4 linked regions of the Saccharomyces cerevisiae S288C genome follow. The main gene of each other region encodes a partner of the protein of the gene in region 4 in a complex. Each region holds a gene or a part of one and is shown on either strand. Other genes may lie near its edges. A codon is read from its position in the direction of its gene.

Region 1 (5,045 bases), 150 kb from region 4:
AAGCAGATGTCCTAGAAGTTGTTTTCTTTGAAGATAAAGAAGGTTGCTCTATTTGTTTGTGTTCTTCTTTGTTATTATGCCCTTCCTGCTGTTGTTGCTCTTCTTGCTCTTTTTCTTGATTTTTCTCCTGCGCTTGTTGCCCTTGTGCTTCTAATTCTTCATTATTGTTATCATTTGAATCTTGAGGAACGTCATGTTTAGTATCTACAGAAACAGCTGCTGCCCACGATGTAGTGTTTGAAACAGGCTTGGATGGTACGTGCTTCCCCTTGTCGAGATTAACATGTTTCCCGGTTGTATGAGCTCGTGGTGTTTGTACCTTCTTCTTATTTCTGGCTTGAGTATAATTGTTACTACTGTTATGCTTTGTAGAAGTAAAAGAATTGCTATTATTAGAACTCTTATATGTAATATCATCTTCTGGATTTGGCAAATGTTGTTGAGGGACATATGAGTGTTGTTGCTCCTTTTTTTCATATTTTTCCTTCTTAGCAGGTTTCTTTACTTCATCCCATCTTGTCACTGCGCCGGAAGTAATTTTATCAATTATAGTTTCCAAATCATCATATTCTTGAACTATATCAATTAAATCATCACTCGTCCAGTCAGGGAACAATTCTGTAAGCGTATCTATTTTGGACTTTAGCGCAGGATTTAGTTTTTTACTACTATGACTATTATGATTAGACTTCCTAAATTGTGTAGACATTATATATATATGATGATGTAGATTATATTGAGAAAACGACCAAACAAAAATAAATATGTAAGTACTTTATGATGGTGATTTTTTTGGGGTAATTGGTAAGAGTTTTTCTTGTAGCTTCAAAAGATCAAATATAAAATACGAATGTTTCTGAAATTACTGTAAAAGACTTAGGAAAAGGAATGAAACGTTTATATGGGAGAGAACGAAAATTTTTCCTTTTCCCGCCACTACTTTTTGCCACCATTTCCCGTTATTTATTTGGGCGAGTGCTCACCTCCGACGGAATCACGGGTGACGGATATCCTAAAAAGGTAAAGAATTGAAACAGATCTATTAATATACGGATCACTATACATTATTATAAGTCGATATTGCAGTATTAGTATTTACATGTTGAATAATGCACATTCTGTGCTAAAATATATACTTCATTTGTCAACTTCTTTTAGTTTGCCGCCATTTTCAAACGGCGCCTCCTCCCTAGCTTCGTCTAGAGCAGGCTTAATACCTTGTTTGACGAGAGCTGCGTTGACACATGTAGTATAAGCGTACCATTGTTTTGAGCACTCGTTCTCAACGGATTTTCCCTTCAGGAATTTTTCGCTATACCATTCATTAAAACAACTATCGTATTTCGTCTTCAGGTCAGTGCATTCAGGCGCAAAACTAGCTGACATTATATTCCCCATATAAAACTGGTATTATTGTTATTGTAATTCAAGTTAAAACACAAACAGATGTTTTCTAATGACCTCTCCCGGCATATATCTGGCGCACTTAGAATAAATTTCTACATGCAAATACTCTGAATATTCTGAATGTGGCTCTCCCTATATCGAAGAAAAAATATAGCGGGCCCATTACCCTGCGTTCTGATATTCATCACTAGTAAAAATTGTATGTACTTATTTATTCTATCTATTCGTAGAAAAATGAATGATGGTCCCAGGCTTTGGTACTTCTTTCGTACTCTCTTCTTCATCGGGCCCTTCGTTGTTATCATCCGCTTGTCCCTTCGGGTGGTGGTGCCCCTGCTTCAGAGGCGAGCTCTCTATATTATTGCTGTTCTCATCGTCGTTATCGCCGTCGTTATTAATATGTTCTTCATGAGCCAGTTGCTTCCGCATTTTATTGGGCACAATCGGAGACGGTACCATGCTGGAACTAGACCCGTACTGCTGCTGCAAAAGTAGCGAAATCTTTCTTTTGCGGCTTTGTCTCTGTATTGTACTTTCATCTTGCTCATCATCAGCTCCACCATGACCCTCGCCTGTAAGGTCTGTTTGCTCCCTTGAAGGCACCGCCTCTGAACCAGTATCTTCGTCGCTAGAGTCCGGAAGTTTCAATATCTGTCCCGTGGATGTTATATTCGCTGTGTGGAAATCATCTATACTGTCGTTATTAAACATAGAATGGACATCCCGGTTGACATGTACAGCTGAATCTGCCTCGTTAGGCCCATTGTCTGTCTGGGACTGCCTACTCGCCTCTTCAGCGGATGTAGGAAATATACCAACATTATTGCTCACAAGGCTTTTGACTGGAGCGTTTCCCACTGGTGCAGCTGCATTTGCCTGCAAATTCACCAGCCCAGTCTCTTGAAACATAGTCCCCAGCCATTCGGTGCTATCCATGATCCGCTCACATATTTCTGAATATGTAGCCACGTGTGGGATGATGTCCTGGGTGATCTTATGAAAGCAGAAACTCAAGTTAGAGTCTATCTTCTGCAGGTTCACTGTAATTTCTTGATCAAGTTTTTCCAATGTTTCCTCTTTGCTTGCAGAATCCATTTTTTGTGTCAACAATCCCTTATGTTGCTCTTTCCATACGTTGATCAACCTGGCTCTATTCCCACCCCAAACTGTAGATATCTATTTTGTTGATGCCTCAGCTCACCAAAACAAACCAAAAAAACGGAAAAAAAAAACGGAAAAGAACGGAAACAAACGGAAAAGAACGGAAAAGAAAACAGGAAAAACTCGCTGTTCTGTTACCCGCGCGGCACTACCGCATTTAATCGGAGTAGCTACTAATCAAGCAAGGGCCTCCGTTCCTCTATGACGCACCGGACATATCGCATTTCCACTATAATAGTGCAAGTAGGACGGGATAAGGCCCAAGATTATCAATGAAGACTAACACAACGGTCTTGCCAGCCATATCCAACTCTAAACATCTTCCACGGCTGTTCAAAAACGAAGATCTCTTACCCCTCTGCGGCTTAAGGGCTCTGTTCAATTGAAGGATCCGCGGCAGTAAAGTAAATGGATGAAAAAAAAAAACTGGAAAAATAGCAACTTTTTTCAGCCTGGAAGATTTGTCATCTAAGCGAAGGAGAATGAAACCGGAATTTTCACTCCTTCTTAGGGGCATTCAGTTTATAAATATAGTTATTCCCTGAAGTTGAGATTTACTGATTTAACATCTGGACAACTAAAAACCTAAATAATAAGACACAATTTTTTGCGGGATTTTTTTTCCTTTAGATACTTTTAACATTCATAGTAAAAAGTTCTGCTACATAGTAAAAACACATAGAAGGTACAAGCAATAGCATGATTCAATTTAAAAGTCCAGGTAACTGGCTGTTCATAGTACCCTGGATTGCCTTCATTCCATGGTATGGTATGCTGATAGCCATGCTTATTTGCTGGGCCAGTCAAGGCCATCCCATATATTGGTTCATGCACTCGGAGCAATTCCCTGTGTACATTTCAGATATAGGTGCCACTAATTTAAGGCCACTGTTTATATCGTGCGCCGGCTGGCAGGGTCTAGGCTATGTAATCACTGTTGCCCTTGAGTTTTTTCAAAGATCCGGCTATCTGCCTTTCCAACTGAAAAAAAAAGACCCTTCTATCTCTGATTCCACATCTTATGCTGAGAAATTGCACAGCGGTAAATACTTAATGCCTCCATATTACACAAAGGATGAACGGAACCTGATTTTCGCAGCTTTTGTTCTCGGCAGCATTGGTGAACTAGCCCTTTTATTCAGTTCCATCTTCTCAACCGCCCTGTACCATCGCGTTCACATTGCTATGGTCTCTGTTTTCGTCGTCTTCATGTTCCTATCCACTTGCTGCTTGATTGCAGAGTATTTCCTCATGGGAAGGCACTATGCCTCAGTCCACCCCCTAGCCAGCCCTCATTTCAATCCTCAATCATCTGAAAAAAGCTTTAACCAAGATTATAACACTGTGGATGAGCTGCCTTGGTATAAATGGAAAGGCCATGTATGGAATAAATTTACCATCAGTGCAACTCTAAAAGTTATATGGTTAACTCTCGCAGTTGTATGGGCCATTTGTTTTGGTGCTATCAATGATAGATCTAAGAGTGCTTGTTTCGAATGGTTGCTAGCATTTTGGTTTGGTATCATATTTATGATTCTTTCCGCCGACTTTTATTTAGGTGGAAGATACAGACAATCCCGCTATTTCAACCACGTGGAATCATTTTCGGGTTATTACAAGTATGACAAGGCGCTAGGCCTCTACCACAGTGAAGACGTTTTGCCTTCGGACGATAACGCCGGCGTGATTGCCACAGAAACAGCATCTTCAAATATTTACAATAATTCCTCTTCCAACGAATCTATTCAAGTAGTCGTATGACCTCATATATGCTAGACTTGACTAGGAAATACCCTCTAACCTGCAAGATATATTCATCTTTTTCTTTCCAAAGCACAATTTAATAAAACTTGCAAGAACATCGTCATCATTTCCCCCTTTTATTTTTGTTATCCCCGTTACTGATGTAACTAATACCTAATTCTATGCTTCTCAATCTGTATAGTAGTTTTCCTTTTGCCGAAGAATTTCTTCTGGCTGCTTTTTTTTTTGACATATTTCGCATTGTCCACAATGGTCATTGCGTTAAAAGCTAGAAATTAAAAAGAGAATATTGTTCAGCATATGTAGTTTAAGTTGGCAAATTTGTTCTGCTCTTGATGTACCTAGAATAAATAAATATTAATCAGAAAAATAAAAAAAAAATAAAAGTAATGAAAAAAAATATAACAAAACCAACATTAAGGTATATATTACAGCGAGTAGCGGCACCGGTTATCATCAAACGATTGATAGAAAGTTAGATAACCTCTTTGAAAAAACTTTCCTTAGGAGAGGTATTGGAATCGTTGGAATCGCGAACTCTTATCTCCGATCCCTCTTGATCGTCTTGATCATCTGTAACTTCATTACTATAATCATTTTCTATCGAACCTTGAGAAAAGCCACTAAAAGACCGGCGGCCGTTGTCGTTACAATGGGTAAAATCGTGCCCCTTTTTTGAGTCCATTTGATCCACCACAGGCTCCCTCTTCATA
Region 2 (4,401 bases), on a different chromosome or scaffold from region 4:
TTCGTCAGATATGTCTAAGTAGTTCCATTTGTTTCCGTCTACCACAAATCCATACTCGTTCAGTAAAAAATCATTTGAGTGTGCACCATAATTCAAAAAGAGCTCCTCGTTAATGTTGTCATAGAGGTGATCGCCGCATCTAATGGTAAATTGTCCAATTCCAATGATGTTTTCTCCTTCTGACCTCAACTGAGGACTTAACTGAGGATAGCAGTGCAAATCCGACTCACAAATGTGGTTCATGAAATCGACATACGGCACTAAAGTGAAATTGCTTGGGGAGTCCTCTATTTTCAACGGAATCTTCGCATAAAGACATCTTGAGTTTATAATAAAATAAACATGTACAAAAAGGGAGAATAACTCATCACTAGTAAATTTATCAGAATTTTTCGTACAGCTTAAGGAGCCGTAAATTTCATTCCATTTCAAAACCACCTCTGAAATGGTTTCCCAATCTTCTCTGACAAGGCCACTAATTCTTGCCATATGCTTTCGTGAGGCAGCAGGGAGATATTCAATCAGTGAATGGTAACGTGAATTGGGATCACAGTTCCAAATGGCTGGGATTGATCGCAGCTCCTCCATTGAGGGCCATACATCAAAGAATGGTTTCCAATCTGAGTAGATTTCATTGTGAGTCCATTTTGGCAATAGAAAATTTTCAACCAATATATAAAATGATACCAATTGAAATGATGATAAACTTAACAAAAACTCTTTCGATAATTCGGAATATAATCCATATCTAGGATCGGCCCAGGCTTTATTTTCCGCTTCAATAATATTGTCCTCATAATTGATTGGCTTTCTATCGATTGTGATACCAGGAATATTCAGCTCTTTATTAAACTTTGAAATATGATAGAGGATAGTGTGAAAATTTAGTTGCTTCGAGCTCGGTACTGATACAATGATATCGTTTTTTCTTATCGAACCGTGACTGAGGACGATCCCTCTGCCAGTTTCTGGCGATTCACAGATGCTGATGTTTGGTGCTATATAAAACTTATCTGATTTTTTCAGCCATGTTAGCAAGACATCAACCTTTCCTTCCATTCGCAATTTACTATGTAACTTTTTTGTAGATATTTATTCAAAATCTGTATCTTCGACAATCTTGAGACTATAGGTGATGAGTAGACGCATCCAGTTTTAGCTTGAGTTCCCGAATTTTTTTTTAATTTTACTTAATCAAGAAATCTTGAAAAAATGAAAAAAAAGAGTGTGGATCAGAATTGCAAAACAATATTCAAAGTATATGGAATATGTGCTTATTTATAATATATGGTTTTTCTCATTTCTACAGGACAAGCCCTGTTTTTGCTTTGTAGATTATGCTTGTAGTATTTTTCTTCTTTCGAGTTATTGTGGCAATTGCTTAACGGCCGTCGCAACTAAACCGAATGAAATGGCAACTACTCCAAAGAGCATTCCCTTACTAACTCTTGTTCTCTTGCCTTCGACGACTCCTAGTTCTTCAGTGCTTATTAATGTATCTTCGGTATCCTTTTTTTCTTCTCTTGAATCATTTTGTTTTACTTTAGCGTTATTGTCATTGTTAATACCACCATTAAAATTGCTTTGTGTTAAAACTAAATTTTTTCCCCTCTCTTCTTCTATTTGAAGGTTCAGCTCTCTTAATTCACTTTCGAGCTCCTGTAGCTTTTCATGGTTTTGTTTTTCCTTCAAGCTACATGCAGATTTTACTTTATTATTTTGTTGTTTGATTTCTTTTAATTGATCTTCCGATTCTTTGAGTAGCGCATCATTATTTTCTGATAGAGTTTTTTGTAAAGCCGTGCTCAGTTTCAGTAAATGCTTTTCATTCATATCAATCATGTGCTTATTGATGAAATCAAGGTTTATCGTATAGTTTTGCATAAAGTTTTGCATGGAATGTAATTTTTCCAGCTCTTGTTTTTCTAAGGACAGCTCAGTAGTCAAAGTTTTTATCATATTTATCAAATTTATGCTTGTACCTGCTGAATTGTTGATAAAAATTCCACTGAGAACCTCAGTTTCTGGACCTAAAATATCATCATCTAATTCTGAGTTATTAATATCTCCAAACATAGCTGCCTCAAAGGCTGCCCTTTGAGCCGTTGTTGCAGATGTTACACCAGCTTCGGTATAATTTTCCTTTAAATGAGATCGTATTGGAATGTGTTGATTATGATGACCTCTGTCTATCTTTATTCCGTTTATATTAGTGGAGTTCCCATTATTCTTATTAGTATGATCTTGTTTTTTCATCACCAAATTTGTGGGATCAGATACAGTGTTCATTAAGGGAATTACTGAAATCTCTTCCACATACGCACTGATTTTTCTATGTTCAAACTTTGAGTCAATATCAGTTCCCAAATCCACAGTATCACCAACTTTTAATTCTACATCATTTTGGCGTATTTTAACCCCATTAACAAATGTCCCATTGCTGGACTTTAGATCGCGAATATATATCTTTCCTGATGTAGGATCACAACTGAGACAAGCGTGATTTCTGGAAAGAACTCTTGAGTCAAAATTTCCGTTATCTGGTCTAACTTGTTGCGAAAATAAATCTCTTTTCGATCCTGAATTATTCTTGTTTACGCTATTGGTAACTGGTCGACCTAATTTAAGTCCGTCAGGTTTAAATGGTACAACAAGAAACTTGGTCTCAAAAGTTGCATTTAAGGATTTGAGTATAATAATATGTGTATGCTTCTTACGGGGTGATCCAGTTCTAAATAATGTCTCAGTTGAACCATTTTGGAATTTCGATAATTCGTCCAGTGCCGGTGGAGATACGGCTTCTACAGGAATTGTTACTTGTCCAGCCGGTGTTGGGTCTATTGAATTGTCATTTTGATCCTGACTTTGATTTTCAAATGGAGAACGGATTTTGTTGGCTAATATTGGGGATAATTGTTGCTGTTGTGAAACTTGATGGACGGAAGGTGGAGATGAAGCGGTAGGCAACAAATCTAAGCCTGGTGGTATGGTATACTGATCTATATCGACATTTGAACGGGATCCACTGCTTCTCGAGTTTGATCTAGCTCTTCCCATGGGCCTCTTAGGCGGTGACGTTTCTGGCGTCTTTGTCATTCCCTGCGAATTCGATTGATCCCTAACATAGGGAGAATGTTGCAGTTGCGGAGGGGGCCGTCTTCTTTTTTCCAGTTCTACCATGCCAAGAATTTACAGTTGTCTTCCTTCCTTCTAATTTCCAGTTGGTGAGACTGGTGACTATCCGTGGGGTCCGGATTGCGATTTACTTTCATTATGTATTTATTATTGGCGATTATAAAGTTTGTTTTCACAGGGCGTAGTAGTTAGCAACAATGAAAATGAATAATAAACAGATCACAGACGCATATATCTGTGTACGAATTGAAGGATAGGCAAAATAACCATGACAGATGCTTTGGAACAGAGCGTCCTTGCGTTGGAGGGAACAGTTTCAGTATTGAAGGATTCTGTGGAGTCTTTAAAATGTGCAAATGAGCCAAGCACGAACCTTGCATCGACAATGTTGCAAACCAAAAGGGTTTTCCGTTTAGTTCCCGAATATGATGTTGAAAGATCAAAATTAGATTTGATTGAAGAGGTAGAACCGCTGGTTAGGACTCTGGGCGATAAGTTACGTAAATCTATGGGTAGAATGCAAAGGGAACTCGATACTTTGCAGCAAACTTATGAATTAAACGATTTAAGGCTAAAGAAGAACATTAGTATGGATGACGATGATGCTCTGAATAGTCCAGACATGGGTCAAGAATACGAAGGCAGAGACGCGGACGACGTGGTTATGATGGCATCTTCTACTAATGAGGAATTGGAAGAATTGAAGAAACTAAAGGAAAAGAAGAAGCAACTGGAGAATAAGTTGGAAATACTCAAACAGAAATAGTTAGAAGTTTATTTTTTAAAGCATCCATTTATCTCTTTATCCAGTTTGTATTATAAATTATTGTTAATGTTATCGCTAGTAGATTACTTATATGTACTTAACTGTTTGCTAGCTACCAAATTTGCTTGATGGTTCGCCATCGAAGCTTTGAGACTGTTCAATTTGGCGCTTATACTGATCAAAGTTGGATCACTTGTAGATACTATTAACTTTTCACATTCCATGACTACCCTATTATCGAAAGTAACGCCCCTTCTTAATAATTCCTGAGCTTCTGGAAGTGTTATAGCTTCACTTTGAAAAGAAGAAATTATGTGGTTAAGTAATGTGGAATCCTGGACTTGTACACCGTTTTCTGAGAGGATCTTAGATAAAGTTTTGTTTCTTTCATTTGTCACTTGATTTCTTATTTGGTCGCAAAATGACCTGCCAGTTTTACTATCAATCTCGCACCAAGGTTTTTTAGTCACCTTAATTAGATTTCGTAGTTCTATGCAAAG
Region 3 (4,350 bases), on a different chromosome or scaffold from region 4:
TCCCCAAATGTCTGTACACTGGCACATCATAATCTATTATATCCTTAACATTGTTCAACTTGTTATTAAACTGAAAATTGTATTGTACCTCAGGATTATTGATCTCTGCTTTTATGAGAAGTGCATCCTTCTTCAAGGGATTTTTAGTCTTATTGGCCAACTCATAAAACTTACTGGATCTTTGCTCAAGAAAATCATAACTCATCCTGAAAATCTCATCAATGTGTTCTGGAGGTGAATATTTGATACGGTTACTTCTTCTGCTGATAGATGGTGGGTCTAGAGAAGCTTTCTTCTGGAAAAGGTAATTTTTCACTTTTGAAGATTGGATAGAAAGTGAACTAGGCCTTGTGGTAAAGTCCGACCAAATATGCGAAGTAGCATTAGGTTTTTGGAGGATTTTAGTGGTATGAATAGATCTTCGTAACATAGTTCGGCAGTGACCTTGATTTCTGTAAAGATCTCTGAATAAGCTTTTTGCTGTAGTCTGATATTGTATTGGATACTGTTGTCTTATCCCAGACCTTCCGGCTTCCGGTTTAGCCCGGAAAATTTGAAAAGACTGCGACAGTAAATCCCAAACACATAAGAAAATAAAAAAAGGAATACATAAACAAAAATGGATATATAAAGGCTAATTTTTTTTTGTTTATCAAATATTCCTTATTTTTTAACTTTCTTAAAAATATTTAAACACCAGATTTCGAAAAAAGTAATATTTATTCTTTAAAAATGCGGTGACCAGCGGGCGATGATAATCAAATATTTAAAAATGATATAATGATAAAACTTGAATTATTTTTATAGGAAAAGTGGAACCAAAAGATTTTCTAATGCACTGATATCATGAGCAGTTAATGAAAAATTATTAATATTATTTTTTTTATATTTTTATTCAAAAATAACATTCAAAATTTAATTTTAATAAACTCATTTAAAAAAAACCTCTAAAAACATGAAGATAGAACTATAATAACGGCTTCAGTATTCAAGACAAAGCCATGTGCAGGTGAAACGATAGAAAAGTGACATAGCCGAGACAATCTAAATGAAGAATTCCTGTACTCATCTCAGACTAGCATTAACAGGGACTTGCATAATTATATCTCTATCTCTGTGTCTATGTATATATATATATATATCGACACAAATGCAAAAAATTACAAAATTTTCACCCACCATAGACGCCAGTGAAAACATGTTTAATTTCTTCCAACGTGTAGTTACCTGCCAAACATAATTGTAACAAGATTCTGCTCTTTTCAGGGCTTAGATAACCAGATGCGATGAGATTATCCTCCTTTGAACCTTTCTTTGGTACGTTGGCAATAGGCACCATACCATCCATCGATCTCTTGGAATATACGATCGGCAAACTCAATTTCATGCAGGTTTCATTGACCTCCTCCGGCAATGAACCAGCACCCATGGTAGCAAGAACAATACCATCATACTTATCTGCCACTAAGTTGACTATAGCTGGCGGAAAGGCTTGGTGAGCATATAAAATGCAAACCTCTGGTAATTTAAAATGCTTACCGTCCACTCTCAGTTTGAATTTGTGGCAACCTTGCGGTTTCACAGGAGGATAATAGTAGTGAATTTCATTGTTGACAAAATTTCCTAAATAGCCTTGTCTAACATTAAAAGAATCCAAACTATTTGCATTCGTCTTAGTAATGTAGTAACCAGAGGAAATTTGGTCATTCAAGGAAACAAGAACACCTCTTCCTCTAGATTTTGGATTTGAAGCAATGCAAATTGCTTGGTAAAGGTTCATAGGGCCATCAGCAGAAACGCTGGTTGAAGGACGCATCGAACCAACAAAAACAATAGGAACGTCGCCAGCATCAATAGTACTTTCAATAAAGAATGCAGTTTCAGATAGCGTATCAGTCCCATGGGTAATAACTATACCGTCAAAAGCCTGCAACGATTCTGAGACGCCCTTATAAATTTTATAAAGAATATCCTCGTTTATGTCTTTAGAATCCACGTTGCATAGTTGCTCATATTCAATGTCACAGACCTTGGATATATCTGGAATGGCATCCAATAGATCTTGGATGGTCAGGTCAACATGATAGCCGGCAGTTTGAGAGGAGTCTATAGCTTTCGATGCAATAGTACCACCGGTACCCAAGATTTTGATTCTTGGTAAGCTACGTTGTTGGCAAGCGATGCCGCTGCCATTCACAGCGGCATTTTGAGACTTTAGAATCTCTGGAATAGTCTCTGGACAGTTGCTTTGCACAACAAACTGAGAATTTTCAACATCTGGGCAGATGGTAGTGATTTCAACTGAATCGCTTTTCATGATACGCTTCCAAAAGTGCGATGAGAGTGCTGTTATCCTCCACTGTCTTCAAACACATTTCTTCAACAAAGTCATCGTCATCATCTTTTTTTTTTTTTTTTCATCGAGTATTTTTTCACACGAACGGCACAAGTAGCCTTCAACTGTAATAAACAAAAGCAGATAGGGAGGAAAAGAAGTGAGTTTAGGAAAGAAAGCATAACATGGAGAACCCTCATGAACAAGTGCAGGCTAACATACTTTCGCGAATAATTGGTAATGTCAAAAGGCTCAATGAGAGCGTGGCAATTCTTAACCAGGAGCTTGTGACCATTAATAATCGGAACAAAAATCTAGAAATCATGGGCGCAATTTGTGATAACTACCATAGTAGCGTCCAATTCAACCTGGAAGCGACCAATAACAAGAAGCCACCTCTTTAATTCACCAATTTTCTATATACGCATACTCATATACACATATATATATGCTATACCGTTTCTAATATATTCATTTAAGATCACTGTTTCCTGCGAAAAGGAGAAAAAAATAACAGCACATCGCTTAACCTATTCCTGTGCTTCTGGAAAGGACGCAGCCTGCAAGAAACAGTCAACATCAATGTCAGATCCATTTGCACATTTACTGACTTCTTTGAAGAATAAGGACTCTGCATCTGCATCCAAGGAAACAACTCCTCAGAGCAGCAATTCGCCTTCCATTACTGGTTCCGCTGTTGCAGATGTTGCAAGGACGGATAAAAGCCCCAATGATAGTCTGCATTCAATTTCAGCTCCTCCGCTGATACCGTCACCGAAGGTAGATTTTTCTGCACCTCCTTTGGTCCCAACTAATAGCACCACTAAATCTAATACTGCCAACAACACACCTCCCTCGGCTCTTGCCAATACCGATGACGACTTCAATCAACTATTTGGTATGGGCACAGTAACTACAACGGATACGATCCAAAAACCGGATGAGGATTACTATGGAAGCAAGGAAGACCACCTTTACAATGGTGATGACGCCTTAGTTGATGAAGTTAAGGATATGGAAATAGCAAGATTGATGTCTCTAGGTTTATCAATTGAAGAAGCCACTGAGTTTTACGAAAATGACGTAACTTATGAAAGATATTTGGAGATTTTAAAGTCAAAGCAAAAGGAGCGCAACGATCTAGCTATAAGAAAGAAAGAAAGTGGTATAAAAATGGAAAAGTCAGGATTATCCAACATTGTTGGTACAGATAGCAATAATTTATTCAGCATGGCCACTGATTTTTTCAATAAGGGTAAGAAACTGGTAGACCAATGGACCTCCTTCCCACCTGAGGCAAATGATAGACTGAATAATTACTCAAAAACTCATGATAAGGTTGAGGATTATGATTTGCCTCAAGTAAACGACTCACCCAATAGAATTTTGTTTGAAGATAATGAAGTCGTAGAGAACTTACCACCTGCCGATAATCCGGATCAAGATCTTTTAACTGATTTCGAAACAAAGATTGATATAACAAAGAGGACAGCGCCTGATGTCTCCCACTCCTCCTCACCGACTTCTGGTATACTAATTGAAGAAAATTCGCGAAGAAATGAGCCCCTGATAGAGGATAGTCTTCTCGACTTTTCAGAAGGAAATCTCACCAATAGTAAAAGCAATGAAGATAGCACCCTCTTCAATGAAAACAGCAACACTGACTCTACAATACCCATCTCAGATATTGAATTATCGGGGTATAACGAATTTAAGGCGAAAGGTACTAGTTTGTTCAAGAACGGGGATTATATTAACTCATTACAAGAATATGAAAAGTCTTTAAATACATTGCCTTTAAATCATCCATTGAGGATCATTGCATTATCAAACATTATTGCCTCGCAACTGAAAATCGGTGAGTACTCTAAGTCCATAGAAAACTCCAGCATGGCTTTGGAATTATTCCCATCAAGCAAAGCTAAGTGGAAGAATAAAATCTCAAATAGTGACCCTGAAAGATCATTTAACGACATCTGGCCAAAGATTATGATTAGGCGTGCTGAGTCTTTTGA
Region 4 (2,559 bases):
ATTTATTTCAAGCCCGACTCAAATAGGAGAAAAGGCAAAAAGTATGTTCAAAATATAGTTAAAGGAAAACATATAGAGGAATTAGAAAGCATGGCAAAAAATGAAATTTCTAGCAAGGCTAACGATGATGTGCTATTGGATTTTGATGAAAGAGATGATGTAACAAATACAAATGCAGGAATGCTGAATACTTTAACAACTTTAGGCGATTTGGATGATTTATTTGATTTCGGACCATCTGAGGATGCCACACAAATAAATACAAATGATACCAAGGCTGTACAAGGGTTGAAGGAGCTGAAACTAGGTGGCGACTCAAACGGTATATCTTCTGGTGGTAAAAACAATCCCGATGTTTCGGGCGGCAATATAGTGTCACAGGATCTCCTCGATTTATTCTGACTATAAACGTCCGTTGTAGTGAACTTAAGTATTATACCATACATATATACCCTTCGTATTAATTTTTCCTTTTTATTGTTGGGCTGTGTGTATATAATTTATGTACAAGAATGGATATATCAAAAAATCCTTAAAAGATGTAAATCAAAAACATCAATCAACACAGCTTATTTTGTAGAGCTTTGTTTTTGACATAACTTTTCAAGCTTGTTGATTTTTTCTAAAACAATTTTATCCCTTTCACCATCTAAATATTTCTCATCTGTTTGATAAAACAGGAGGCACGATTTCATTTCATCTCGTTGCTTATCACAAGTGGGAAAAACTTTCATTCCATTTGCCTTAGCACAATCTGCCATTGCTTGAACAAAATTTGCACATTTTTTGTATGTTTCCGTCTTCAAGTTCTTGCGAGCCTGTTGTTCTTCGCGAGGACTTAGCACCCATATAGGTAGCCTAGAACTATGTTTCGAGATCATCTGCGGATCTTTGTTTTGCTCCATCTTATCAAATATATGAAAGTTGTTCCAGATAACTTGAAGATATTCGACTTTTGTATCTCTGGCTTTAATTATGGTTAAATCTTCCTAAACTATCATAGGTATAAATACAGGGCACTCCGTTTTCAACTTTATAATCGGAGAAGTACAAGAGCATTCAAAAAGTTCAAGAGAACGGTATAACAAAAGGACAAAGGGAAGCCAAAGAGGGAAAAAAGATATCCGTACTTTGTAGGAAGGAGACGTATTTAAAAGGCTACCCAAGTTATAAGACTCCAATGTTTGGCCCATTCAAATTAACAAGCCCCGTCGCTGGTGGCCTACTATGGAAAATTCCATGGAGAATGTCCACACATCAAAAAACCCGTCAAAGGGAAAGATTAAGAAACGTTGATCAAGTCATAAAGCAATTAACTTTAGGTCTCCACGTCCAAAGATGTCAGGATAAAGGTCTTACTTATCAAGAAGCCATGGAGAGCAAAAAGAAATACAAGCCAAGAAGTAAATCGTTAAGGTTGTTAAACAAACCATCAGTCTTTCCAAAGGAGAATCAAATGTCTTCTAAAGATAAATATTGGACTTTTGATAAAAAAGCTGTTGGTTATAGGAAGGGTATTCATAAGGTGCCCAAGTGGACGAAGATTTCCATTAGAAAGGCCCCAAAATTCTTTTGAATGATACGTAAAAGATCGTTTTATTGATATAAAAATTTCATCTGTATATAGTTTAATCATTGAATAACTTGTTTATAGATCCATGTTTGAAAGTAACACTCCTAAGAAGGCTTTGATGTTTTGTATTGCTCATATTATATCATGCCCATTGAAATCAACGTTATTTTTTTGTAAAGGTGGGAAGAAAGATCAACAAGATAAATGGCGAAATAGAACATATCAGAACATTTGAACTTCAAAACGAAGAGGACACAAAGAATTTCAGGCAAGAGAATGAACGCTAACAAACAAAGGCAGTATAATCAGCTTGCACACGAACTTAGAGAGCTTCAAACGAATTTACAGGAAACGACAAAACAACTAGATATCATGTCGAAACAATGTAACGAAAACTTGGTAGGCCAATTGGGTAAGGTACATGGAAGTTGGTTGATAGGTAGTTACATTTATTATATGGAGCAGATGCTTGGAAAAACGCAATAAGGCATAAGAGGTAAGACAGTTAGTGGCCAGGCTAATTTATAAGATGTGAAATGAGATGGTGTTGGTACGATGGACAAACAGCTTGCATAAAAAGACAACCAAGTTACGTATAGTGAACGAGTGAAAATAGGCAAACCTTCTATTCACTAGGCCGCTTCACATGAAATTAGATGTTCGTATCATATTTACGGGTATCGCGTAATAAATAAGTTATTAATCTATTTTTTGTGTCTACTTATTTCAATTGGCTATATATCCTTATTTATCATCATCGTCATTATTATTATTATTATTATTATTACTATTACCATTACCCTTATTGTTTGTGTTGGTGGATAGTATGTTAGGACGCTTTTGTTTTCTTGCCAATTTGACTTCATATTCGTGGCAACTTACCAATCCATCAAGAACTAAAGGTTCAGGCTTTGGTTCTTCCTTGAAATAGTCGCTTTGTAAAGCTTCGGTTGCACTAAACCTTTTCGTCTGATCATAACATAACA

What was found.
Region 1: HSK3 (region 4) and ASK1 share a complex: the UniProt entries of both Saccharomyces cerevisiae proteins name them as parts of the DASH complex.
Region 2: the proteins of HSK3 (region 4) and SPC19 are in contact, whole or in part, in a cryo-EM structure (PDB 8Q84), measured with the Saccharomyces cerevisiae proteins. Residues at the interface, in NP_690844.1 of Saccharomyces cerevisiae: Met1 (codon at 1,850), Asn2 (codon at 1,853), Lys5 (codon at 1,862), Gln6 (codon at 1,865), Tyr9 (codon at 1,874), Asn10 (codon at 1,877), Leu12 (codon at 1,883), Ala13 (codon at 1,886), Leu16 (codon at 1,895), Arg17 (codon at 1,898), Leu19 (codon at 1,904), Gln20 (codon at 1,907), Leu23 (codon at 1,916), Gln24 (codon at 1,919), Thr27 (codon at 1,928), Leu30 (codon at 1,937), Asp31 (codon at 1,940), Ser34 (codon at 1,949), Asn38 (codon at 1,961), Val42 (codon at 1,973), Lys47 (codon at 1,988), Ile54 (codon at 2,009); in NP_010487.3 of Saccharomyces cerevisiae: Met1 (codon at 3,404), Ala4 (codon at 3,413), Leu5 (codon at 3,416), Gln7 (codon at 3,422), Ser8 (codon at 3,425), Leu10 (codon at 3,431), Ala11 (codon at 3,434), Leu12 (codon at 3,437), Gly14 (codon at 3,443), Thr15 (codon at 3,446), Val18 (codon at 3,455), Leu19 (codon at 3,458), Ser22 (codon at 3,467), Ser25 (codon at 3,476), Leu26 (codon at 3,479), Ala29 (codon at 3,488), Ser33 (codon at 3,500), Leu36 (codon at 3,509), Met40 (codon at 3,521).
Region 3: the proteins of HSK3 (region 4) and DAD4 are in contact, whole or in part, in a cryo-EM structure (PDB 8Q84), measured with the Saccharomyces cerevisiae proteins. Residues at the interface, in NP_690844.1 of Saccharomyces cerevisiae: Asn2 (codon at 1,853), Asn4 (codon at 1,859), Lys5 (codon at 1,862), Gln8 (codon at 1,871), Tyr9 (codon at 1,874), Gln11 (codon at 1,880), Leu12 (codon at 1,883), Glu15 (codon at 1,892), Leu16 (codon at 1,895), Glu18 (codon at 1,901), Leu19 (codon at 1,904), Asn22 (codon at 1,913), Leu23 (codon at 1,916), Glu25 (codon at 1,922), Thr26 (codon at 1,925), Gln29 (codon at 1,934), Leu30 (codon at 1,937), Ile32 (codon at 1,943), Met33 (codon at 1,946), Gln36 (codon at 1,955), Asn40 (codon at 1,967), Leu41 (codon at 1,970), Gln44 (codon at 1,979), Leu45 (codon at 1,982), Val48 (codon at 1,991), His49 (codon at 1,994), Ser51 (codon at 2,000), Trp52 (codon at 2,003), Ile58 (codon at 2,021), Glu62 (codon at 2,033); in NP_710144.3 of Saccharomyces cerevisiae: Glu6 (codon at 2,536), Gln9 (codon at 2,545), Ala10 (codon at 2,548), Leu13 (codon at 2,557), Ser14 (codon at 2,560), Ile16 (codon at 2,566), Ile17 (codon at 2,569), Val20 (codon at 2,578), Lys21 (codon at 2,581), Leu23 (codon at 2,587), Asn24 (codon at 2,590), Val27 (codon at 2,599), Leu30 (codon at 2,608), Asn31 (codon at 2,611), Leu34 (codon at 2,620), Val35 (codon at 2,623), Asn38 (codon at 2,632), Asn41 (codon at 2,641), Leu44 (codon at 2,650), Glu45 (codon at 2,653), Met47 (codon at 2,659), Gly48 (codon at 2,662), Ala49 (codon at 2,665), Cys51 (codon at 2,671), Asp52 (codon at 2,674), Tyr54 (codon at 2,680), His55 (codon at 2,683), Leu72 (codon at 2,734).

What each region holds. Positions count from the first base shown.
Region 1 is NC_001143.9:338,045-343,089, forward strand, and holds ASK1 (Ask1p), read right to left. Parts: upstream 2,503-5,045; coding exon 1,624-2,502; downstream 1-1,623. Other genes in the region: DNA damage-responsive RNA polymerase-degradation factor DEF1, read right to left, coding at 1-709; MDM35 (Mdm35p), read right to left, coding at 1,138-1,398; SFK1 (Sfk1p), read left to right, coding at 3,268-4,329; LPX2 (Lpx2p), read right to left, coding at 4,808-5,045. UniProt on the Saccharomyces cerevisiae protein: Component of the DASH complex that connects microtubules with kinetochores and couples microtubule depolymerisation to chromosome movement; it is involved in retrieving kinetochores to the spindle poles before their re-orientation on the spindle in early mitosis and allows microtubule depolymerization to pull chromosomes apart and resist detachment during anaphase.
Region 2 is NC_001136.10:852,914-857,314, forward strand, and holds SPC19 (Spc19p), read left to right. Parts: upstream 1-3,403; coding exon 3,404-3,901; downstream 3,902-4,401. Other genes in the region: RKM2 (protein-lysine N-methyltransferase), read right to left, coding at 1-1,059; VPS64 (Vps64p), read right to left, coding at 1,366-3,180; RAV2 (Rav2p), read right to left, coding at 3,985-4,401. UniProt on the Saccharomyces cerevisiae protein: Component of the DASH complex that connects microtubules with kinetochores and couples microtubule depolymerisation to chromosome movement; it is involved in retrieving kinetochores to the spindle poles before their re-orientation on the spindle in early mitosis and allows microtubule depolymerization to pull chromosomes apart and resist detachment during anaphase.
Region 3 is NC_001136.10:1,106,669-1,111,018, reverse strand, and holds DAD4 (Dad4p), read left to right. Parts: upstream 1-2,520; coding exon 2,521-2,739; downstream 2,740-4,350. Other genes in the region: mitochondrial 54S ribosomal protein mL38 MRPL35, read right to left, coding at 1-430; asparaginase ASP1, read right to left, coding at 1,172-2,317; auxilin-like protein SWA2, read left to right, coding at 2,918-4,350. UniProt on the Saccharomyces cerevisiae protein: Component of the DASH complex that connects microtubules with kinetochores and couples microtubule depolymerisation to chromosome movement; it is involved in retrieving kinetochores to the spindle poles before their re-orientation on the spindle in early mitosis and allows microtubule depolymerization to pull chromosomes apart and resist detachment during anaphase.
Region 4 is NC_001143.9:184,303-186,861, reverse strand, and holds HSK3 (Hsk3p), read left to right. Parts: upstream 1-1,849; coding exon 1,850-2,059; downstream 2,060-2,559. Other genes in the region: APL2 (Apl2p), read left to right, coding at 1-402; CMC1 (Cmc1p), read right to left, coding at 570-905; mitochondrial 54S ribosomal protein mL60 MRPL31, read left to right, coding at 1,181-1,576; cyclin-dependent serine/threonine protein kinase CTK1, read right to left, coding at 2,318-2,559. UniProt on the Saccharomyces cerevisiae protein: Component of the DASH complex that connects microtubules with kinetochores and couples microtubule depolymerisation to chromosome movement; it is involved in retrieving kinetochores to the spindle poles before their re-orientation on the spindle in early mitosis and allows microtubule depolymerization to pull chromosomes apart and resist detachment during anaphase.